Linked DNA regions of Drosophila melanogaster. The gene in region 2 interacts genetically with the main gene of each other region. Each region holds a gene or a part of one and is shown on either strand. Other genes may lie near its edges. The genes, in order: bon, ftz-f1 and ari-1.

What was found.
Region 1: of ftz-f1 (region 2) and bon, changing one suppresses a phenotype caused by changing the other (phenotypic suppression), as found in Drosophila melanogaster (one study listed by BioGRID).
Region 3: of ftz-f1 (region 2) and ari-1, changing one suppresses a phenotype caused by changing the other (phenotypic suppression), as found in Drosophila melanogaster (one study listed by BioGRID).

What each region holds. Positions count from the first base shown.
Region 1 is NT_033777.3:20,591,138-20,598,476, reverse strand, and holds the start of bon (bonus), read right to left. Parts: upstream 5,339-7,339; 5' UTR 4,634-5,338; coding exon 4,433-4,633; intron 1-4,432. Other genes in the region: Pus1 (pseudouridine synthase 1), read left to right, coding at 5,881-5,920, 5,984-6,469, 6,525-6,801, 6,866-7,339.
Region 2 is NT_037436.4:18,797,529-18,804,723, forward strand, and holds the start of ftz-f1 (ftz transcription factor 1), read right to left. Parts: upstream 3,782-7,195; 5' UTR 2,580-3,781; intron 1,328-2,579; 5' UTR 1,204-1,327; coding exon 9-1,203; intron 1-8. Other genes in the region: CG14073 (uncharacterized protein), read right to left, coding at 5,254-5,469, 5,535-6,202, 6,301-6,429, 6,496-7,195. UniProt on the Drosophila melanogaster protein: Acts as a cofactor to fushi tarazu (ftz). Facilitates the binding of ftz to DNA. Binds the sequence element 5'-YCYYGGYCR-3' in the zebra element of ftz. Probably functions as a nuclear receptor for a yet unknown ligand.
Region 3 is NC_004354.4:18,130,435-18,140,667, forward strand, and holds the start of ari-1 (ariadne 1), read right to left. Parts: upstream 7,252-10,233; 5' UTR 7,142-7,251; exon of another isoform or gene 6,931-7,141; intron 6,706-6,930; exon of another isoform or gene 6,617-6,705; 5' UTR 6,227-6,616; coding exon 6,008-6,226; intron 4,906-6,007; coding exon 4,753-4,905; intron 4,692-4,752; coding exon 4,635-4,691; intron 3,927-4,634; coding exon 3,277-3,926; intron 2,938-3,276; coding exon 2,814-2,937; intron 2,753-2,813; coding exon 2,526-2,752; intron 2,444-2,525; coding exon 2,362-2,443; 3' UTR 1-2,361. Other genes in the region: CG43229 (uncharacterized protein), read left to right, coding at 8,197-8,445. UniProt on the Drosophila melanogaster protein: Atypical E3 ubiquitin-protein ligase, which catalyzes ubiquitination of target proteins together with ubiquitin-conjugating enzyme E2 Ubc10.

The DNA.
Region 1 (7,339 bases), on a different chromosome or scaffold from region 2:
TGCTGCTGCTGCAGACGACGGTCGAGGTTTGCGTCGGGTTGCATTGGCGGTGGCCTGGGCAGGGCGTTGTGGTTACGTTGGTCCGACGAGCCGGTGGCCCTCGGTCTCTGGAGCTTACCAAAGCCGTCACAGCCGCTGTTTCTGTTGCTGCTGCTGATGCGGTTTGCGGTTCTTTTTGTGCCCGTTGCAATTGTTCCTGCTCCCGGAGGGCATGGCATCAGCAGACACGTATACACCATAATATGTACATATATATGGATTGGATGGAGTGTGCACGAACTACGAGAGTACGAGTGTTTTCCAAAATGGCGACTCCCCGCTGATGTAGATACACAAACCGGTAAGACTTCCCAGTCAGCAGGGGGCCCGAAAATCGTGACGCCAGTTGCAGGAATAGCAATATTATAACCGATATGGATGGTACCGGGACTTGGGCGTAGGCGTATCTGGGGGCATGCCAAGGCGGCAGCTGAACAAGCTGACGCAGCTCAGAAATCTGCTTACATCTGCTGTCTGTTGCCGTAGGATGGTAGGAAATCAGACAGACTCGCTTCTCAGGACTTATGCAGCTTATAAAACTTTGCCCTCTGCATTTCCCCTCCACTGACAGAAACGCTCTACTTTTAAAGTGGCGTCAGTTCGGTTTCCCTTTGCCACGGCCGCCCGACTGCACCATTTTTGTTGCTGTGCGTTATAATCCGCTTTTTGTGATCGGATTATGTCCTGTGTAGCACCTAATCCCCGCACAGGAGTGCGACCAGCGTACACATGTTGCCAACGAGCACCACTTCCACATCTACACCTACAACTACACCACTCCCATTCCCTTTTTCAGTTCCAATCCGATTCCATCCATCCGCACTGATCCCGCAGTCGCAGTCAACTTTAATTACGCACTGGACGTCGATGGATGGATTAGGGCGGCCTTACGCCCACCGACTGCCCGGAAAAGCAATTAAAATGTGTATATCCTGGATAAACAGGAGAACGTCCCTAAATGGAACCACCTTTCAAGTTATAAAGCTGTTAACATTTTAGAAAAAAACATGTTTTCATGGTTTGTTCCAATTAAACGTTATTAACAATAAGTTCGGAACTGAGAGAGTTTATAAAATGTACATCAACCAAGATGGTTTTTCTCCTAAAAATAACAAAAAGCTATTAATATAAGATTAAAAGTTTATAACAGGTACAAAGAACAGTAGACAGTAAAACAAATATACATATAATCTTTTTTAAAATTTTTTTTCCGAACTCGAAAATAAAACACTAGTAACGAGAATAGACTAGAGCGACCTCTCTTGTTCACTTCAAAAATATGTTGAATATCTATTTTGACATTGAGCGTACTAAATCAGAAAATCTTTAATGCACATATTGGCTTTGACACAATTACCTAGTTTAGAGTATAGAGTATTATTTCTAATCCTAAATTCGTTCAATCGGATCACAAAGGGGATGGTTGACTATAGATGCCATAAAATCCCAGCATTTTAAAATCCCGATGTCTGCATTAATGCCAGGTAGTTCGAGTAAAGTGAAAAGAGAGTCATTTTCCAAGATCTACCCGCCCTTATTTCAGGGTAATCAAGTTAATTAGAAACTTTACTTTTTTGTGCATTTAACGACTTTTATTTTTGGGGGCTGGGGTTTCCTAGCACCGGCGTCTGGCCATCGGCACTTTGCCTTCTCCTCGTTTTGCTTTGCTTGCATATTCTCATCAAATTAAAGTTAATTGTACATCATTAAAGGCGGATTCTAAGAATTCGTTTCGGGTCTCGTCGGTATCTAACACAAAATGGCGTCGTACGATTTTGGGTTTTCATTTATTCCGATGTCAAGCAATTTAATTACAACCTGTCGCATGCATGGGGTAACACACAAAGACATGACTTCATGAATATGTATGTACGACAAGCGTTCGTACATACGTATTTATGGGAGTATTAAATATGGCCTCATGGAGGGTAGGAAAATGCATTTAGGTGCAGTGTTTTTGAGATGACATATGGATGCCCGCCAGCGGCAACCTCCCCATCAGCTGTCACTTTTAATGCCGAAACCCGCCATTTTGACAGGAGCTACAAATGAATAGGTTTCTCTTTTCAGTTAAGCTTCAGTGATTTTGAGTGTTTTACCGAATCGGAAGTATAAAGGTAAAAAAGAAAGTCTCCACAAAAGCAGACCTTGTGTTTATGAATGTATAAAACCTTTCAAGCTAATTTTAATTAAAAACAAATTAATAATCATTTGAGTTTAATATGAGCAGAGGTATCATTGTTTACTATATATAGGAAAAAATTATCCGTGAATTTTAAGTCTTCTCTCTTTATTGAGAAATTCTTATTATGTTTTTCGCCCATAAAAGTTACTTAACGACATCATGTATTCCATGTATTCATGAGTAGGTACAGTTAGTTTTGTGAAGTCATGCATAAATTAGAATAATTTACTCGATGAAAAGGAAAAAAATGCCGTCAAGAGAAGAATTAGCATTCAAATCTAAAGGAAATCTAAAGGATCGCATAATTCTTACTGGATCATAAATAATTCTTTGATAATTCTTTTCATATTAATTATTTAACTATTCCGTGCTTGGCAGTTTCTTAAGTCAGATTGTTTTGTAGTTATGTACATGCATGTATGAAAATCTTTAACAGGATTAATAATCTAAAAGCTATTCCTTTGAAATCCCCATCATCATCCATTCTGAACTCCACACCTTGCCTCGGCGAAGTACTTTCCACTTGATAGTTTGCCCGCATCAGAAATGGGCATTAAGTGATCTGGAGGGGATTCAGGCGGGGGGGGGGGGGGGACTGGGCATGGAGTCTGGGGGTCTTAAGTGCCCCCAACGACCACAGCAAACACAACCGTTTGCATGATTGAGGGACGGATTGAATGAGTGCATGTCATTCCCAATCCCTGGTTGGGGTTCAAGAGAGAGTGGCCACTCCAAAAGGCCCACTCTAGGCGAACATTTATTTGCACGGTTGCAGGAGAAGTTTGAGTCTTTCATACAGTCAGGCTTCCGTAACTAGAAGTATCACATGCCGCATAGAAAGTTAGAGCTCGAATTTTTAATTACATACATGAAAACGTGTTTGTTTTATTTAGCACACATAATAAAATATCGTGACCAATTAGTGTCATCTAAAGCGGTTATCATTTGTGAAAAACATTAATTTTGTTTTATTGTAATCACAAGCCGTTGATTTTAATTCATAATGTTAGTGTTAAATGAAACTTTCAAATTGCCCAATTTACGTTGAAAATAAGGTAGTTATATTCTGTATGTCCCAAAATTATATTGGAAGTTCAGTTAAGGCAAGTTATCTGGCTGTACAGTAAGTAACTAATACAATGAAAATAAACAAAAAGGTGTAAAAGCAATTCAATAATTCTTTAGATTGAAGTAGTTAAAATATTATAGTATTTTTTTATTTTTCAGGACAATTATGTTCAAGCTTTCCACTAGGATGATCTACTTGGGTTCCACTGTAGCTTAAAGAGCAGCTCAAGCACGACGGAGAGCAAACAAAACACAGTAGAGAGCACACACACAACCACACACACTCTATTGCCGCTCATCTGGAGAGTGGCAGCTGCATGTTGCAGCTGATCTGCAATTGCAAGAGAGGGAGACCATCTTGACTTAGCCCTTCCACGTAAGTGAAAGCGAGGTAGCGACTGTCTAGAAACAGCTTGTTTTGCTCGCACTCATAGGGGAATCGAGAACCATCGGCACGAGACCCTAACTCACTACACAGTAAAAAAAAAAATTCTCAATCAGTAAGCTAATAATTAATGTTTAATTTGTACCTTTTTTAATTTAATTAAATTCTTGCATTAAGTTGGTATATTATTTTTCATTTTTTCATATAACAACTTAAAAATTTGTATATTAGAACTAATTTTAAAGTTGATTCAACGTTCGATAACATCACATTTCTTACATCTTAACTGGTATATCCAAGATTAAAACTGCATAGTCATATTAATTTTAAAATAATAGAAAACTATATATACACATATACTGTAAAATAGAGCAAAGTGCACGCCGTTTTTCTCACTGTAAGATCTCGGACTGGGCCGTGAAAGTGAAACACAACAACACTTGCCATTGCGCGCTGTTTGTTTGGTTGTGTGAATACGCTGCTTTGTTTGCCTTGGCCTGGGAAAAAGATAACAAACGCTTTTTGCACGAGACTCGATTCGAAACGCTTGATAAGGAGGACGCAGCACGAGCGCATCAAAATCCAACCAAAACAAAAGTTTACACTGAGCAGACTGCGCAGAGCAGGGGAATATGTGTATTGAGCCGGCTGTTTGTTATCAGCCGCAAGAGCACGTGTGATTAGGCGGCTTTAGCTAACCTCAACTTGGCGTTAGCTTATAGGTAACGAACGCGTGATACGGACTAGCAACATACCCTTTTCTCGGCACTGTCGCAGGGGTTGCTCAGACTCAGCGAAGAGGAGCTCAATGACGAGGTTGTGGGCGCACCGCTGGCCGTGTTTGGTGTGCTCATCTGGGGCAGGGCATCCGTGGGCACGGCATCCAGCTGCTCCTGCTTGATCCCGGCGATAAGCGGCAGGAAGTCGTTCTTTAGCTGCTCCAAATCCATATCCATGTTGGCGAAGTCCTGCGATTTAACCGCGTAGGCGGTTGCTGGCGATCGTTGAAATTAAAACGTGGGCGTGCTAATTATAGCAACTGATTTTTGGTTGACTGACCGACCGACCGAATGTTTCCCTAAAGGCTGTCGCCTTGAAACGGCATGACTATTGCGATTATGTTGCGGTATTATTGTTTTGGAATTAGTTGGGTAGTTAATCCATTCCAATGCTTACACGCACGCACACGCACAAACACACACAGGGCGCGCGCACCAATACACAGGAACTACACGAGAGCAGGCAAAAACAACGATTTGTGCTTGTATGGATGTTCACAAACGATTTTTCGCTGATTCTTAAAGTTTTGTTCGTAGTTGACTCCTCTTCAATTGGGTGGCTAATGCATTTTAATTTCACCTTCGACTTCTGGCTTGCAAAAATATTGGGTTCTCCCTCTCTCTTTCGCACAGAGCGACACAACTTTCGTTTTACTTATACACGACGTTCGCTCGAATTTCGCTGCTATTTTTCGGTCTGGCCGTCGATTTTTCCAGCGATTCGTGCCGCATTTCGTCCATACGCGGCTGCTATTCTTTATTCGCGCTGCGAGCGCGCTCTTAGTGCGGTTTTATTGGCGTAATTCGCTGCGAAAACACACGGTCTCACGGCGTTTGCTCTCGTTGGACGCTTCTTCTGTACAAAAAATGTTCAGCCATTTTGGATTCAATTAATTCATGTCGGCGTTGCCAGTACGACGGCATTTCGAGGGCTGTTACGCACGGCCGTGGAAACGTAAGCAGCTGAGGTCACACTAAACACGCGATCTGGCAATACCACAATTGAATTCGCCGTTCATTTCGTAAAAAATCATATTAATGTTGTAATACATGGTCAAGATGCCATTTATTTACAATTTAAAACTAATAACTTAGCCTGGTATTAAAAGGTTATAGTAAAATATAACATAATTTTTAAAATAAACTTGTAACGTCTTCGTTCTGTTAAGTCATAACGTTACGTAAAGCTTTGAACATTTTTCTCCACACAGCTAATTTAAAACTTAAGTAAATCAAAAGTAGCATTTCGGAAACTCAACTTAATTATTGAGCTAATTCAAAGAACGCGATTTTCGAAAAAAACATATTTGTATTAGCCAAACAGAGCTGTTAAATAAAACAGCTGATCCGTAACAGAGCAAGAAGAAGAAGCACAACCACACGTGTGTGAATTCCTCCACTTTAAATCCAGAATTGTTTACTTAATGTTTTTAAGACGACTTTTAAACGACTACACCAAGGCAGGTTAATTATTAGTGATCACACCTCCAATTCGAGAATTTATAATAATTAATTTTCTTACAATAGTTCGCCTGAAAACCCTTTGCAATCCCTGGAATCGCCACAAATCCTTCGCCGCAGCGATGTCAGAGGCTCTAGATAAACTGGAGGTGGAGAAGGAAGCCAGGAAAGAGGCCAAAGAACTGGAGGGCGAAGCCGTGAAGGACGCCAACCGCATCAAGAGAACACTTAAACGCAAGAAATGGGTCGATTGGAAGGAGCAGGACGAGAAGGATGCCGCCAACGGCGTGAAGCGAGCGCCGTTCGATCCCGCCGACCGGATCAAGCGCAAGAAGAGCGCCATCCTGCTTAGCTACTGCGGTGCGAACTACTATGGTATGCAGCGCAATCCCGGCATGCAGACCATCGAGGAGGAGCTCTTCAAAGCCATGCTAAAGCACAAGTGGATTACAGAGGACAGCTTTGAGCAGATTCAGATTTCCTGTTTCCAAAGAGCGGCCAGGACCGACAAGGGCGTCTCCGCCGCCCGCCAGGTGTGCTCCGTCAAGCTGCGTTAGTTTACTTATTCTATTTTACAAGACAATACTAAACCTATTCCTTCCTGCAGCTGAGGAGCTGGACCTGGAGGCCTTCAATGCCGATCTGCCGCAACAGATCCGTCTGTTTGGCGTAGAACGCGTGACTAAGGGCTTCAATGCCAAGGATCAATGCAATGCTCGGACCTACACCTACACACTGCCCACCGTGGCCTTTGCTCCGTTTGAGGAAAAGGTCGACGACGTGCACGACACCTTCCGGATTTCACCAGAGCTGCTGCAGAAGGTTAAAGAAACCCTGAAGCTCTACGAGGGCACGAAGAACTTCCACAACTTCACCAGCAAGAAGTAAATAAGCCAGGTTTATACTTCATTTCTGCTCCAACTAATATTTTGTTTACTACCCTTGTAGAAGCTTTCTGGATCCTTCGTCCAAGCGCTTCATCATGTCCTTTACGAGCAGCGAGCCATTCCGGAGTCCCCAGGACATCGAATTTGTCACACTTAAGGTTAAGGGTCAGAGCTTTATGCTGCACCAGATTCGCAAGATGGTGGGTCTAGCCATTGCCATTGTAAGGGGGAACACGACGGCGGCCACTTTAGAGCGGGCACTGACGGAGGAGCGTCTGGACCTGCCGATGGCCCCTGGACTGGGCCTCGTGCTGGACACAGTGCACTACGAGCGCTACAACGATCGCTACGGCAAGGACGGCATCCACAATCCGCTGACATGGCAGGCGCAGGAGGCGCAAGTCCAGGAGTTTATCGAGAGGGAGATCTTTAGCCAGATCTATAAGACGGAAGCCGAGCAGCGTAACATGCTCGACTGGATAGGAACATTGCATTATCACTCGTACGACACGCGGACGGAGGACGCGCCTCCACC
Region 2 (7,195 bases):
GAACTTACCTCCGTTATCGTCGATTTCCAGACCGAACTCATCCTCGGACATGGACTCATCGTCGCTGCTGAGATTGGAGCCACTGTGGTTGCCGCTTTGCATGTGATGCTGCTGCTGCTGCTGCTGCTGCGGAGTGGTGCTGGCACTGCTAGTGTGGTTGCTGTTGGGAGACGCTGCTCTCGGGGCACAGGAACTGGCGGCCAGCTCCTCAATACTGTGCAATGAGCTCCTCGTCGGATTGGCAGTGTTGCTCATGGATGTTGTCGTTGTGGGCGTTGCAGTGCCTATTGTGCGTGCAATCGATCCTGATCCCGATCCCGATCCCGATCCTGAACCCGATGCCGATCCAGAGCCCGGCCCTGTGGTCGTAGTGGTGCTAATGTGGCCATCATCCTTGCCCACCTGCACCTCAAAGTCCAACAATTGGGCCGTTGTGGAGGACAGGAAGTTGCTGGTGGAAACGGAAGTCGACGAATTGACTTCAAGTGGTTTCAATTGATGATATTCGACGGGCGGCACAATTATGCTACTGTTGTTGCCATTTGGATTTTGGGGATTCTTTTGCAACAGGGCGGGATCAATGCACTCGTTGGCGCTGCGATGGGTGGGAAATAGAATATTGGCAAACGATGGCATCGTCACAGATTCGATGATCACCGAATTGCCGTTCGATGGCCTCACTGTCTTAGCCTCCACGTTGTTGTTATTGTTATTGTTAGTGTTGTTATTATTGTTGTTGTTGGTAGTGGTAGTTGTTGCAGCTGTGGCAGTGCCCATTAGTGTCATGTTGCTATTGCTGTGGGGATTTGGACTGGCCACAAAGAAACGATCGCACAAGCCGCTCAAGGAGATGCCTCCATCCAGTTGACTGGCATCGATCGTTTGCAATGAACTGAAGTTATCGGCATTTGCCGATGTTGTTGCCGCCTCAACTGCTGCTGCTGCTGCTGCAGGTCCTATTGTTGCAGTTGCATCCTTCTGTTGCAACTGCAAGTGTGAATAGAATGGCAGCATGGGCGAACTGCCCGCCGCCAGCATTTGATCCTTGTGATGATGGGGCATTAGGAGTTGCTGCTGCTGCTGCTGCTGATGTGAATGTTGCTGCTGATGCTGATGTTGCAGGTGGTGATGATTGCTGGTAGCTTCTGTTGCATAGTTGGTGTTGCTGCTCTCCGCCAGCATAGGTACATTGAAGGTATCCATTTTATGAATAATATAATTTAACTTTTATTTTTTGTACGTTTCGTTGTGATGTGTGGTATTTGTTTTGTTGATTCTTAATGGCAGGTAACGATAGTAGTTGTAAGTTTATAATTGCTTTAAAGACCTGAAAATGGTAATAAAGCAGATTATTAGTAATCAAAAAAAAATTCTAAGCGTTTTTAAAGCCGTCTAAACCAAAAATCAATCCGTTCTAGTAATAAATATTAATTTTCAGGAAGTAGGACAAGGATTTCAAAGGCCTAGGTTAATGCAAGGTCAGGTTGAAGGTCAGGTCGCAGAGAATGTGGGCCAAGGAAAGGCCTAATGGTATTTGAAGCAGGCCAAGGTCAACTCTTTGTGGGGAGAGAAAGCTTTCAAAGCTTTTTCTGTACCACTTCAATGTCCACCCAATTTATTATGTTATATTTCAGTTTTTTTATAATTCTACTATTTAATTATTGTTTAGGGTTTTTAACTAAATCGTCGAAAGTCCACAATATATACCTCCGTAGAGCTTAGGAGTGCCTAAACTATTTTTATCAGTATCAATGCAATTTCACCAATAAACCGATGTTTAAAAATTAAATTTCAAAATAGACGTCGAGAATCTTTAATTTAAAAATTGAAAAATAAAGTTTTTTTAAAAATGCAATTGTTTTACAAGATTACAAAAATTAATAAAAAAAAAAAAAGTTAATGCATTAAAAGCATCTTTAACCAAATTATTTTTTCCGAGTAGATAAAATCCATTTAAAAATTAACACGCTAAATTGTTTATTCCCCCATTTACAGTAATTTTCCAGTTCGCGAAACAGACAACTGGAAAGATTCCCCCATTTTTTTAAGCCCTGTGTTACCCTTTTTAACGATACTTTAATTAACTTCACTCGACTTCAAGTTCTTCACTTTTCGTGCTTGAATCTCACCAACCCTCGGGTAATCCACGGAAAAAAATTGAGCAAATGACATTAACTTTATATTTAATATTTTAAAAGAAAAATATCTTAGTGGAAAATACGAGAAAATGTATAAAAAAAAACTATAAAAAGCTATAAACTGCTGATACAATTTTCAGTTTATTATCCAAATTTTTAAAACCACATTAATTTTTGTAAAAAATATATATATAATGATCCCAGTAAAATTTATTTAAACAAACAAAAAGGTGATTTTATTTAAAAAGTTTTCTTATAATGATGGTTTTTAAATCAAATTCGTGTCAAAACTGTATTTCATTCCGTGCTCCTACTTCCCATTAAAGATGGTAAGTGCAGTAAAATAAAGCTCACCCAACTAGACAAAATGGAAAAGGAGGTTTTTGGGGGGTAAAAGGTGAGCGAGAGGAAGTCGTGCAGCGGGGAGAATTGAGAATTTACCTTTCATGCAGCTGACGTCGTTGTTTTTCCTTTTGTAGTTCTGTGTGTTGCGCATGCGCCCGGTTCCATGAATTCCAAGACGAAGATCGCGGAAGAAGAAGAAGCGCTGGAAGCTGTCCGTCTCTCTCTTTCTCCGTCTCTTCCCCTCTCGCTTTTTATGTATACAAAAACCAGTTGGAAGCGAAAGCAAAAGTTCTATTATTATGTCTTGGTCTTCTTGCTGTTTCTGTTTTTGTAGCCGTAGCTGGTCTCCCTCTCTCTCGCTGTCTCTGTCTCGCTCTCAGTGTGGGAATTCGCATGTGTGGAGAACGGAACGCGAATTTATAATTCGCAAAACAAAGCTTGTGTGTGATTCATTTCGCCGATCGTAGTCGCTGTTGCCGTTGTTGTTGTTGTTGCTATTTCTCCCGATCGCATCTCTCGGCGTCTCGTTCTCTTTTGCTCTCGCTCTCCGAAAGCTCTTTCAGCATATTTCAGAACACGCACACACACGCGACGCCAAACGCATTTGGCAATTTATTTATATTTTTTTTTATTTATTTCTTTTATTTATTTTGCATTTATTGCCATTTACTCTTCCTCTATTCTCGGCGATTTCCTCTTCCCGATTTCGAACGCACACCAAGAACTTCTTGCACAATCGTCGCACGCGCGCAACAAGCGAAAGCTCTCAGAAACAACAACTATAAATTGCAATTCCTGCTACGCACACACTGACACGCTCGCACCGCACATACATATATACACACATGTACTGGGGTTCCACTGGGCACTCTGTGTTGTTGTTTTTCCGCTTGGCTTTTGCTAATTTTGCCTTGTTTTTGCTTCTGCTCCAATTCTATGACACAACGCTATCTTCCCACTTTGTGTTAATTTTTATACACAATTGCACACCAAAATTGGGGTTTGGTAAACGGATAGGCAATGACGGGGGCGCGGGCGACGATTGGAAACCAGAACACACTCCCGTTATGGACGCATCGGAAATATTAAATATATACGTATGTACACACACATAATTAACGCCAGAGCTGTTCTTCTTTTCGCTTTTGTTTACTTTCACTCTTACTTTCTTGGCTATCGCTCACTTTCAGCTATTGTTTATTCGCTGGCTTCACTTTTTCGGGAAAAACTATTCCGCACGCAAAAATTAGGTCTCGAGCGAAATTAGGTCGAACTCGAACGGGAACACAACACACAGTAAAAGTTTGTTGGCGTAGGTAGAAGAAGACCGAAAGCCCTCGCGCATACACGCACACACACATGCGCGGTCGGGATAGTGTTGGATCACCGGAGCGAAGAGCGGGGCCAAGGACAGAGAGGCAGCATTCTTGGCCTTTAAAAATCGTTTGAAGAACAAGGACGGCAATCATATGAAAACCGGAAAGCTTTCAGCTGAAAGCACTCACATGCACGCACACCCGCGTTTAGCGCACCGCTCGTGCGGCGAGCTTTTGAGAGCGACATCTGCCGGAACCTATCGCCAAGTTATCGATAGATCGTAAATTCAAAACTGTGGCGGTTTGTCAATGAAATATTACATAAATTTTAATAAGCAATAAAAAATACAATGAGATTATCTAGTTCAAATAATTGCAAATTTAAAAGGAAAAGAAGAAGACGAATTTAAATATTCACAAGATATAATTATACTTTTTCAAAAGAATGGGCCCTCTAAGTATATTTAAGTACTTATCTAAGACCTTACCTGTTCAGTCATCTATTATTATATATAAATAACCTTTTAAACCAATTTTGAAGAATCGTTTAATAAAAGCTTGGATCGATATTTGTTTTCAAATGCCAGGAGATTGTTAAAATTTTGAAGTGAAACCGCACTTTTAAATTGTCAAAATTTCACTTTGCATTTATTTTGTTTTTCATTATTAGTTTTTTTTTTTTTGTTAAATTTCTTCAGTTTTTTGTGGTTTCCTTTTATAGTTGCACAAAACTTACACACGTACATTACATAGAAAATTACAAACCTATCTGAAAATTGATTTACATTGTAGTTGGATCATATTGTGTATACATATACTTTATATATTATGTTAATAATTTCATTTAAAAATACATAATACATAAATACGCCTTTGTTGCTTCTTTAATATTATTACAATAATTATTATTTAGTTTATACTTTAGCTAGATTGTTTTGTTTTTTTAAAAACCATAGATTACACTTCATCCCTAGATTTATCTGTAAGTATATATCAATTTATTAGCTGATTGGCTGGCATACATTTTCCGTTCGTTTCCTCGTTTCTAACTGCCTTGCATTGTTTTCTTCTACTTTTATTGCATAATTGCAGCCAATCCCTAAAGATTCCAGATTTTCTCAATATTCTCGCTCTAAAATTTCCATTCATTTCCTTTTTCTTCGTTTTGAGTGTGTATAGCACCTTTGTATCACTTTGCATTAGCTCTAAATTTAATTTCCTTTATAAAATCCTTTATCTTCCAAAGACAAAGACGTGTGAGTAAAAACTAGTTACTAGCTAAAATATACATATGTATAGTATATAAATCTACTATTATATTCGTACTAATAGTTTTTCCATATTTGTTTGCACTTTACACTCTATGTTCAGTTAGTACTATGCTCATCCATTCATCATTATCTAATTTATATCTTTCTGGATCTTGCCCCGTCCAATCGCTAAAGATATCTCGGTTAAAATTTCATTAAAATGGTCTTAACGCCCAACAAGTTCCGTACACTGTCGTTGTATTTGATGAGCACAACCTTCGACGAACTGAACATGTTCAGCTTTTCACCGGCGCACAACAGCTGCAGGCAGGTGGCTTTCTCCAGGAAATCATCTATCTTGAACTCCCGTAGCAGGTGCTTCTGACTGCTGGCCAAGGCATTGCTGTTGTTCGGACAGAGCTAAAAAAAAAATAACAAGATTTTGTTATAAGTTCATTTAAATATCGCATCTAAATGGCACATACCTTGTTAAGCAACGTATCCTTCGATTTAACTTTAAGTAAATTGCACAAATCATTGAGTAGTACCCATTTATCACTGCCCTCGTCTTTGAGCAAGTACAGTGGTGGCAAGGGCACATCGGCCTCTTCAAATTCAAAAATATCACCATTCAATTCACTATCCATTGTCTCGATGTCCGTCTGATCCTCGTCTAGCCTAGTGCTACTATTCGTATTTGCTTTCGCATTCGTTTCCGTTTCCGCTTCTGTTTCAGCTTCAGCTTCCACTTCCTTCTTCACTTCATTCTTGACATTCACAACGCTTGTTACTAAATTATTTTCCACATTAGCATTCAGCTCCTCGTTGTTCTTATTGTTATTGCTATCCTCGTCGGTTCCCAGTTCCAATTTAACCATCGTTGTTGCCGTCGTCGTAGTCGCCGATCCAGTCTTTGTTGCACTCGTCTCCCCGTTCTGCTTGATCGTTGTTGTCACCCGATCCTGGTCCAAATCCTCGGGCTTCTGCTCCTCCTTTTTTTCCGCTAACAGACCATTCAAGTTGCTGGTCCTGTCACTGTTGCTGCTCATCCTCTGCTGCTTGGCCTCCTTCCTTTCTTTACGTAGAGCTCTGCTCATATCACAAGCTGTATTCGGTACATTACTGAATATATCATAACCATACTCCTTAGCATCTGGAAGAGATTAATGCATGGTTTAGTTCAAATTCATTCATATTTTAGTTTTATCCTTAATTGTATGCAATGGCAAAGAACTATTTGCTTCCACTCACCAAATATCTCCCAAGGCCCATTGAATCGCATTGGCTTGATGTCAGCGGCGGCACTTTGTGCATCGCTGAGATGAGCGCGCAGAATGCCTCGCATCAACTTGCTTGAAGCTAACATTAGCGGGGTTTGACCTAAAAACAAAAGGGTACAATTGTTACAATCCCTTCGAAATGCAAAGTTAAACATCCAACACCAACCTGAGTACGTTGCCAGCAACGGATCGGCTCCATAGGAGAGCAACAGTCGCACCACCTCCTCGTGATCGTTTTCGATGGCTCCGTGCAATGGCCTAATTCCAGATTGAGCCGCCTCCGAATGATTCGCGCCGTATTGAAGTAGAATCCTGGCAATCTCCAGCCATCCCTGGGTGCACGCCTCGTGGAGTGGAGTGTAGCCGGCGTTATCCTTTTGGTCAGGATTCATATTCATACGATCCAAGCAGTAGACCACCACATCGATTAGGCCCTGGCGAGCAGCCTTGTGCATGGTACTCTGACCAACTCCTTTGTTGAGCACCCACTTTTGGATCTCACGACAGACATCCATTTCCGTTTTCACCTTTGGAGGCAAATGGGAACTGCCAGCGATGGTGCTATCCGTATCCTCCAAGCGCTCATCCGCCGCACTCTGATTGTGTTCCAAAATGTGTTGTGTTATCTGACTGGAGACTTGGCTCTGACTCTGATTTTGCGTGTGGTTCTGCGTCTGAGTCGGAGCTGGTCTCTTCTTCTTTCGTATATAGTCAAATCCCGAGCTGCCTTTCCTACAACGATACTTCCTCTTGTGCGGACACTGCGGAGCCGTGACCGACTTGTCCTCCATGAGAGATCTCCTGGCCAATTTGCTATCATTCGCGCTGGCAATGCTGTTCATTTGCTGCAGGAACTCCTCGTACTT
Region 3 (10,233 bases), on a different chromosome or scaffold from region 2:
ATTTCTTCTTAATTATACATACATAGTTTCTCATAATTTTTACAGCTTTTTTTTATATATCTTTTTGTATTCCACATTATGGTAATTTTTTCCTTTTCTTTCAATTCGAACAACTTTTAACTTTTTACATCAATTTAATGTCAATGAGTTTTCCATTTGGATTCAGTTTGTTTATAAATATAATTGTTTCTTCATTTATTGGTATTTAGAATATAAAGAGAATGCTTAAAACGGAAACAAGATTAAGGGCCGACGCCTTCGTAGCGGGGGCGTGGCATGTCCAGTTATGTTGCCGCACGTTATGTACATACATACGTGCGTCATTTTGTGTGTGTGTGTGTGTGTGTGTGTTTGTGGGCGGGCTAGGAAACCATGGACAAAACTGTACTCTTATATACAACGATTCGAGGAGGAGGACTCTGCAAGGGTCCAAGGACACCGCCTCCCTCCCCATCAACTATACATTCCTCGTCTACTCGTATATAACTCAGTGTGTGTGTTTCCGGCATCGGCATGTTCTTCGATTTGTGCTGGGAGCACTGATCTCCATTAAGGATTTGCAACATTCGAGAGGCCATTACATATGAACTAAGAATGGGGGCGTAGCTCTGCTCCCGCCACGAAAACAAGGCTTATCCGATCGAATTGCAAACATTTTCATTCCGTATATGCTAGGCACAATTGTTTATTGAACAGAAAACCAACGGAAAAAAAAGAAGAAATCATTTTCCTTTTTTGTTTTTTTTTTTTTGTAAATAAAGGCTTAACAAACTGGAAGAAATTCGAAATCGAAAATCATACTGGGTCTGAGATTGAAACTAAAGAACAATAACGCTAACCTCAAGCCTAAACGGGTTAAAAAAAAGGGACGTAGAAGGTCGAAGCAAAGACACTAGAATAACAAGATGCGCAACGGCCTTACATTGGTTTGGCACTAGCAATATGATGAAAAAATATCAAATTGGAATACAAAAAAAAAAAAAAAACAAAAACTGAAAAACAACTGAATCTAATGTGCATTTTAAATAATTGAAATGGTACATTTACATACATCATATTAAGTCAAATGACTTAATAAATATACTCAATACAAAGCAAATTATATTAACTACCGTAATTTAAAACATAAATTTTACAAAAATTTAATTTTTCACACGCCGCAAGCTGAATACTCTAATGACAAATATTCTAATAAAGTAATTTTTGAAATTTATTTTGTGATAATATGTACATAGATTTGGCTATTTCTAATCTATTTTCAAATAATAATAACGTTAAGGCAATGCAAAACAAGAATTTTTAGCATGGTGCCAATTGATCAAAAATAATAAAGATTTAAAGTCTAAGAAGGGGGTCAAATTTACAATGCATAAGCATACGTGTGCACACATACAATTGTCTGCTATCACTGTATACGTAGAAAAGAGCTATTTGCTGTAGCGCTCTCCACTCTCTCGCTCTCTCTCAAAAATTCGAGAGAGCCTGGAGCCACCTTCTAGATCCATTGCCAAAAAAATGTGTGCTAAAAAATCGCGTTGCGTTACGCATCTTGTTATTCTATTGTCTTTGGTCGAAGGAAGTTGGGCAGGTGGAAAGGAAGCTGGGCGAGTGTTTCTGCTTACATGTGTAGTTTGTTTATTTCACATAAGTTTAGGTTCTATTGTTGGCTTCTCATCATGCGTGTAGCTTTGAATTCACTAATTTTTGCATTTTGTTTCGTTTTTCATTAGGTTTTTATAACATGAAGATTTCTTTGCAATCGGTTAACATCAAATAAGTTTTTAACTGTTGATTATTTACTATATATCTATTCTGCTTCTGAGCCTTGTGACTGGTTCTGTGTGTGTGTGTGTGTGTGTGTGGGAGTGTGTGAGTATGTGTTTGGTAGTGTCTATTTGATCCTGTCCTTCTTCGTGTCCTGCTGCTGCTCTTGCTTAGTACGAAGAAAAATATATATAATTCAATATATATATTTATATATATTACGATTTTATGGTGATTTCCTTCTGGCTTCTGTGTTCTGAAATGGCTTCAATTTTGCTTTGCAACTCTTGTATGGGGATTTATCCTGCGTTTCTGGGAATTTCGAGTCTCCTTTCTCTTGCGTTTCTGTGTAGCTTCTGCATTATCCTTAACTTCTGTTCAACTCCTTCGGCTTCGATTTCTGCGTGAGTGCGTGCGTGCGTGAGTGTGTGTGTGTGTGTGTGTGTGTGTGTTGCGTGGCTTGGCGGATGTTGGTCGGTATGTGGATGGGGACAGTGTTTGCTGCATTTCGGATGCTGGATGGGGTGGCGCTTAGCGGGCACTACATTCCGATTGCCTGCCGCTCGGCTTAGCTTAGTTATCCAGCCATGACTCGCGTCATTCTGTGTACTCCCACCACTCCTTGTCGTACCCCTCGTGCACGTGCTTCAGCAGAACAGAGCACCGCTTTTCACAATACCTAATCGAATGGAGAGACCAATCAATGTTTGGATAATGAGTCGTTTGTATGTTGGGGACACGGACATGGCTCGCTCGCTCACCTGTATTTATCTTGCACTTTCTGCTTAATATCAGCCAAATTCTCGGATGTAATATCACGTTCCAAATACTCCGACAACATCTCGGTTGCCGACTCCAAGTCCTTTTGATTATCCTCGAATATCATGGATTGATTGTTCTTTTTCAAGTAATATGCAAACACGTACGTGTACATGAGAGTCTGACGGCACTGGCAAAGTATGTCGACAGCCTTTTTCAGAAACTGCACCTGCAATTGCAATGAGTGTGCTGAATTCGCATTGTTATGGTCACGAGTTTTCACCACTTACCTCAATCCATGACATGTTGTGCTGTTGCATCTCCTCCATCTTTTGCTTCACAGATGCATACAATTTGTTCTCAAACTTCATCGACTGCATGTGGTTCATGTAGCGATTGTAGTAGTGGAGATATCTGTAGATTTGGCAGAAGATAATATATCAGTTGAGTTTTATTCCATAATGACTTTCACATTTCTGCCTAGATACTTTCGTGTTTCCTTGATTAGTTTTAGCATTTCTAATTCTACAGGTTTAATCAGCGATAAAATTTAATTACGAATTATAGCTGATTCATTCCTTTCTACGGCTTTCAATCGTTATCTTTTCTTAAAAGAAATTAGCAGATAAAATAAACCGCTAACCGTCATTATCAGCGAACTGCGAAAATAATACACAACAAGTATCACTTAAAAAAAAAAAAAAACAAAAGGGGTTCCTATCCTGTGACATCGTTCACAGTCGAATGACCCACCTGGCCAGCGAGGAGCGCAGCTTCTCCTGAGCATCGCGGGCCGTCTTGGCCTCGTCCTCGTCATAGCGATTGCAGTTGTACCAGGAGGAGCCGTGCGGCTCCCAAGAACCGAGGCACACCCAGCAGAACTCGTTTTTGCAGTTCTGGTTCTTGCACACCATGTGGTTGCAGCCGCCGTCCTTCTCGATGGTCACGCTGCACCTGGGACACTCTTTGGTATTGGCCGCGATCCAGTTGGACGTCTCCGAGTCGTCGTCACACTTCTTGATCCACTTCTTTAGCCAACGGCACTTGACCGGATCGTGCCAGTTCTCGCCGCAGGCAAAGCAGAAGACATGGCCGCATTTGCAATGGACGCGACGTGGCTCCGCGTACGGCACCTTCACCGCATAGGTGCAGTCGACGGACGGACACCAGCGCAGCAGCTGGTTGCACTCCACAAAGCTATTGGTGATCAGCTGCTGGTACTTGACCCGCACCCGTGCGTCCGTCACTAGGTTGGCGACGGTCACGTCGTCCACCAGGATATCACAGCCGTGCGCCGCGCACGAAATGGTCTGGCCCAGACCCTCCGCCACGATCTTCGTTGACAGATACTCGTGCCAACAGGGCATGCAGAATCGGTGTCCGCATTCCAGCCCGGCCATGGACTAAATGGAACGAAGAGAAAGTAGCTATTAGTATACATTGTAGATATTCTTGAAGTTGTTGCTTGTGGAGCAAAAGAGTATACAATATTATAAATATATTATAATCGTATTCTATAATATATACTTAAAGATCACGCGAACTATGAGAGCTTAATGATGAAGCATACAGCAAATTAAAACCACCTACATAGCGTATGGTAATTTTAAACTTTTCATAGGTGTTTTACGCTCTGAGTATTTGTTAGTTAGCTTGTCTATAATATATTTAAGTTTACTTTGCTGTTATAACCCAAAGTTGCCCATTGCAATCTACTCTTTTAAAACGTGATACTAAATTTTACTTTTTAAACTACATTATTAAATGTTTGATTCCACAAGACAGTTGGATTCCAGCGAATTACTGCTGAACTGCTTACATAACCAAATTCAGGCTAACAATCAACAATTGTAAATCAAGCAAGTAAATTAGTGATAACGTAAGCCAATAAAAATAATTGATAAAATACAAATCAAGTCTTTTTAGAATATTTTAGATTTGTATAGCAAAGCAACGCCCTAACATTATTATCAGGTCATCAGATAAGGCACCATTGACCAGTTAAAAAATCATGTTTCCCCCCAAAATATTCGTGGTTAATCAGCGGGAAAATATATTCTACACCGCAATTAGGTCACGGAGTTACTCATCCCTTCTCCATGACAACTTACATCTGGCGGGAGCTGTGAAAAGCATATTTCGCACTCTTCGCACTGACTGCGTGAGGTCTGAAAATGAAGGGAAACGCATTAGATGAGACATCAAATGGAGCCTTAGCACTGGGCTCACCTTTTGTTTGATCGCTTCGGTGGCGTTGAAAGGATTTATGACATGTGCGCATTTGAAGAACTCATCAGTGTTGTCGTCGAAGTACTTCTCCAATAGCTTCTCCTTGTCCCACTTGAAGTGATTTAGCAGTATCCGTGTGGTGGGTGTGGGTAGCTGTGGCCATAGACAACAAAACAAATCGAATGTCAGTGGATGATGGCACATATGTACATATATGGGGTAAAAGAGCGGGGGCTGCATCCCAGTTGGCATCGAAATCAATGCCAAATCATTTGCGATCAGCAGCAGTATGATCAGCAGTACCTATGTATAATCGTGGATGGGGTTGTGATGTGGAACCACTATAACTACCACTGGCAATTGGTCTATCTAAACAGTATAATTTTTAGGATATATAACATTTCTTGGCATTCCTAATAACTAATCGATTTGTTTGGAAATCGAGAAAAAGTACGTATGTATGTACAATTCAATTTTAGAGGGAAGAGTTACTCAAAGGTGCTTTGTTTAACTAACAATTAGATAGCTACATACATGATCTGTATCAATACTGAAAGTTAACACTCAAGCTAAGTGAATTTCGCTTATTATTGCAATGAAAGATTTTCTGATGTTTAAATGTCAATGAAACAAAAAAGTATTACATGGATTCTACATTGATCCTAATGTATTCATTTGAAATGGAATCTATAATACCATTTTAAGGGAATCCCCCGAAATCTGGGAAAGTGAAAACTGTGCTAGTGAACTTCGGGCAAGTCAGCTGCTGATGCGGATATGGGATGCGGATCTGGCGACCTTGGGTGCGCCTGGGTGCTTGTGTTCCGATTTCACTGGCACTGGCAGTCATCAGCGGACGACCTTCAGCTTATCCCAGATCCCAGGCAGGGCGGTGGGCGGCAAGAGCGAGGGGTGGGGAAAGCGATTCACGGATACACATGCCCAAATGCACTGTGCTGCACACAGTGATGCCTCCGAGCGGCGAACAGATCAGATATTCTTGGCAGCTATACGCCACTAAACTATGTCAAGCCATTTGGCTTTCACTGCAAATCGCAGCGCTAACGAAAGTCGAAACAAACATGTTCCTGCTAGGAAGGCCTGACTGTAGAGCAATCAAAGGTGACTGCTTGCCTATCTTTGTTGTCTGGACTGGGTGAAGAATGTACCTCTATGGCTGCCCTAGGACTGATAGTTAAGTTGCGGATGGATAGTTATACTAGCGGGTGTTCACTGTACTTGCGCTTGGCCATACCTTCAGCAGCAGATTGGCTTCGTCGATGATCTCGCGCTGGTGTTGCACAATCTCATCGGTGGTGAGCACCTTGTACTGGTAGTCATCTTGGTCCATCTGGCGGTCCGCGGAGCTTGGCAGGTCCACCTCCATGCCAAAGTCATCATCGCCGTCGTCGCCCGAGGAGACGTTGCCCGAATCGACATTATCGCAGAAATCATTGTCATTGTCCGAGTCCATTTTTCGGTTTCTGTTTTGCGTTACTGCTTCTGCTTCAGCTGCTGGTGCTCCTTCTGCTCTCTTCCTCTTCCTGTTCCTCTTGCGCCTCCCGCACCACTTCCGTTCCTCTTTGTTTTCAGCTTTCGAGGCTTTGTTTTCCAGCGTTTACTTCCAGTATTTTACTTTTGCATTTGCATTTGCGTTTGTTTCTGTCTTTTCGTTTTCCTTTGCCTCGTTTTCCACTTGCTTTTGTTTACGTTTTTGCGCAGCCCTTTTCGCCAGTTGTTATTATTGCTGCCCTCGCAGTGGCGTGGCCAGTTGTGTTTGGTCGCTGCACTTGGTGCACAGCTTCTATTCCCTTTTTCACACTAACTTATTTTGTGCGCTGCTAATTTGTAGGCTGCGTGCTGGCTATTTTTATTTGTAAATGAAAAATGAATATGTGAGATTTTCTAATGACAATACGAGACCCTGCACGGTCGCAGCGCAGTCATACTGGTTCGGTATTTTTAAGAAGAACGGTCACACTGGCCCGTGCGCTTAACAGGGCCGAACTGCTGATTTAACAGCGAACAACACTATGTTAAATGTGTGCATGTGTGTGTAAAATCATGTAAAATCGACCGAACGTCGATGGGACAAACAAAAAAAAACAACGAAATTATGTACACAAATGCATTTTTCTTTAGGGCAGATTATTTTGTTTTCAAGGTAATGGCACACACCAGCACACTGCGCACACACATGCGCACATTACGTGTGTATTGCCACACACACGTACACAAAGGCACAGTCGAAAAGCTTATGACTTTTTGTTGTTTTTCTATGCACTTTTCCAAAGAAAAAACACTAGCTTATTGCACTAATCGTGCTCGCCTTCGTCGCGAAGTTCGGTTGCAATGCACAAATTAAATGGAATTTTCACGAAAAACTAACCGTAAAGCCAACAAAATGATTTGCATCGGTGTTGGTTCTCACTTGCTCTCTTTGCTTTTCTCAAAAAATAACACACACACACACGCGCTCGCACAGTGGAGTCAAGTGTGCGTGAAAGTGTGTGCGCATGTTTGCGCTTTTTTCCCATTTACTTTCGTTCCGATTGCCGCCTGTTTCATACCGTTCCGTTAAATCGTATGTTTAACAACATCTGCTTATCGATGGGTGCCAAAAAAGCAATAGTGACTTATCGACGGCTGGGAAACAGTAGATTCAAAAACAAGTGAGCTTCCAATGAACGTTTTCTTGATTCTCAGTGTATTCATCAAAAGAGATTATCTTAAAAATGAGACATGCGCTTAATTTACAGAAACAGTTTTTGAGAAAATCCCTTTACAGAACAAGACTTGAAGGGATCCATTCAAAGGCACGAACCACAGTGTCAAATTCCAATCCGAGACATAAACCTGTTTGAAATAAATATTGTTATTTAAACATTATTAATTATTCTTGGAATTAAAGGGTATACTAGATTCGTTGAAAAGCGCTTCCGACTTCATAAAGTACACATATTCTTGATCAGGATAACTAGGCGTCTTGATCTATTATTGAGATCTTTTATTCGACTGTCAAGATATTATACTCAAACGTTTTCTCATGTTTTTAACTGCAACCTCCGGTTGTTTGCGGTTAGAGTTTAATCTTTAAAGTGGCGAACAATATAAAATTGCTAAAACTTCGCACGAGCTAAAAATATATTTGAATAAAATTATTTTAAACTTTACTGTCCCAATTTTCATTGTTTCACAAGTACCGTTAATCAAATTCAATGGTAAATTGCCACTCTGTTGTAACATCGATGTATCGATGCCATATCGATACCTTATCGATACTGTATCGGTTGATACAGAGTTGCACTGGCAATGGGCGCCTTATTCGATTTCACTTAAAGTTTTTTATTGTATATTGTGTTTTTATTGCAACACCTGACAACTGTTGTTGTGTATAAGGTATGTATATAAAGAGCCAGCTGGCTTAATCAGAATGCGGTCATAATGCAAATTCGTTGGATGGCAGTTCGATTTCTTCTTCTTCTAATGGTGGCAGCCATACGGGCCGACCTGGGCGGATCCGGAAGTTGTGGGCCCTACGAGTGCCGTCTGAGCAACCCGATCTGCCGATGCGAGTCCTTCTGCCAGGAGTTCAGTCAGCGGTGCTGGAAAAACCCATCGGGATGCCATTGTGCGAGAGGATATGCCCGTAACGAACGAGGACACTGTGTGCCTCTTATTTTGTGCCCCTGATATAGGATTCACCATCAAAACAAATATCTAAACGAATATCACCTTAAAATTCATATGTAAACTAAAAACCGATTGCATGGAAATAATCAGCATGCAAAATAAATACAGCAGACACATTTTTAATGAGAAAAAAATGGTTATAAAATTGATTGGGCGTTTGCCTCATTACACAGAAGTAAATATTTTAATGTTTTCAATAATTTTCTATTGGTTTAATATTAGGCATTTGTAGAAATTATAAAACCAATAAATAAAAACTACAAAATTACATGACGGCAGTTACTAAATAGCATTTTTAACATGAACCAAAATGTATACCATTTTTGCATATAATGAAAATGACAATTTGATTGTAATTCAATCAATTGAGTTAAATTTACCGAATGCACTGAGCGCATGAATGGCTGCATTGTTTTTTTTTTTCGCCACAAAAAAGCAGCTGAAAAATGCACCGCTCCATTGGGAGTATTTAAGTCATTTTCATTTATGAATAGTAATACCAGGCAGTTGCCACTAAAACCCGGCCATCGCATATAATTGTGATTAAATTACTTTGTATGTATATTTATACATTAATACATATGCATACATATGTATGTATCCATGTTGGCCATTACCTATGCAAGCATATATATATATACATACATTGTTCCAATTTGCATTTCAGGAATTAATTACAATTTGCATTAGGCACGCCATAATTGCTGGCAAGTTTTATTACACGAAACGCCAGTCTGTGCTGCCCGATTCAATTATAGTAGAATCCTTCTGGGAATTTATTAAATTGTCAGTTTTTTGTATAAAACCAAAGGTTTAAATATGATTAAAAGCCACCAAAAGGCTTTTTGCGCTTGATTTTTAAATGTATTAAAAAAATATAGAAGTAGCGATAAAGCGCTTATTTCATTACATCCCTTTTGAAATAATTAAATTACGAAGTTAGTTCTTTAACGAAAAAGGGCAATCAACCGCCATGTAGTGATTTTTTCGCTCGAACTTGCTTTCTTTATCTTCGCTGATGCTGCGGCTGCGTTTTATAGTTGTCTGCTGTGCTCGTAAAGCATGCTCGCGAGCAAAAGCACAAACAACGTGTAAAAAACGAAACTGTTTCCAAAAAGCGGCAGGAATCGTTGCTGTTGTTTGCCAACGACAAAGGTCGCGCATCTGTTTATGCCGATTACACGTGGATCAATGTGGGTGAATTGTACGAGTATTCGCATGAACAGAGAGATACCCTGGACAGACGAACTTGCTTCAAAAAAGTTGAAAAAATTCCATTTTTTCAAGTATCTAAAAAATAAACTGCTCAAGTATTTAAGGACACATATGGATAGCAGATATACCACATTAATCTTAACTCTTGTCGTATTTGTTCTGCCAAAGGTACCAAGTAACCCTAAGTCGCAACGATCGGCTTGAGGCTCACTTCTTGTTTTCAATTTGCAAATGCCAGCAAAACGAGGAGAGAAGACAAAGACAATAAATTATGAGCGGGAGATAAAACAAAAAGCGCAAATTGAACTGGGCGTAAATTAAAAACAGGACAACAAAAAAGTGGCAACAAAAGCGGAGCGAAGCAAAGGCGAAGAATGATGACCACAAGACCGCGGCCACCTGACGCAATTGTCGCTGTTTGCGTGGGTGTGCGTGTCCTGCTTTTGTGTGTGTGTGTTTGCGGGTATCCTGTGGGTGTGTGTGTGTGTGTGTGGGCGATGCGGCTTTGTAAACTTGCGCCTCTCGGACGCAAAACAAGCGTGGAACAGGATAATGGCGAAGCGTGGCAAGAAG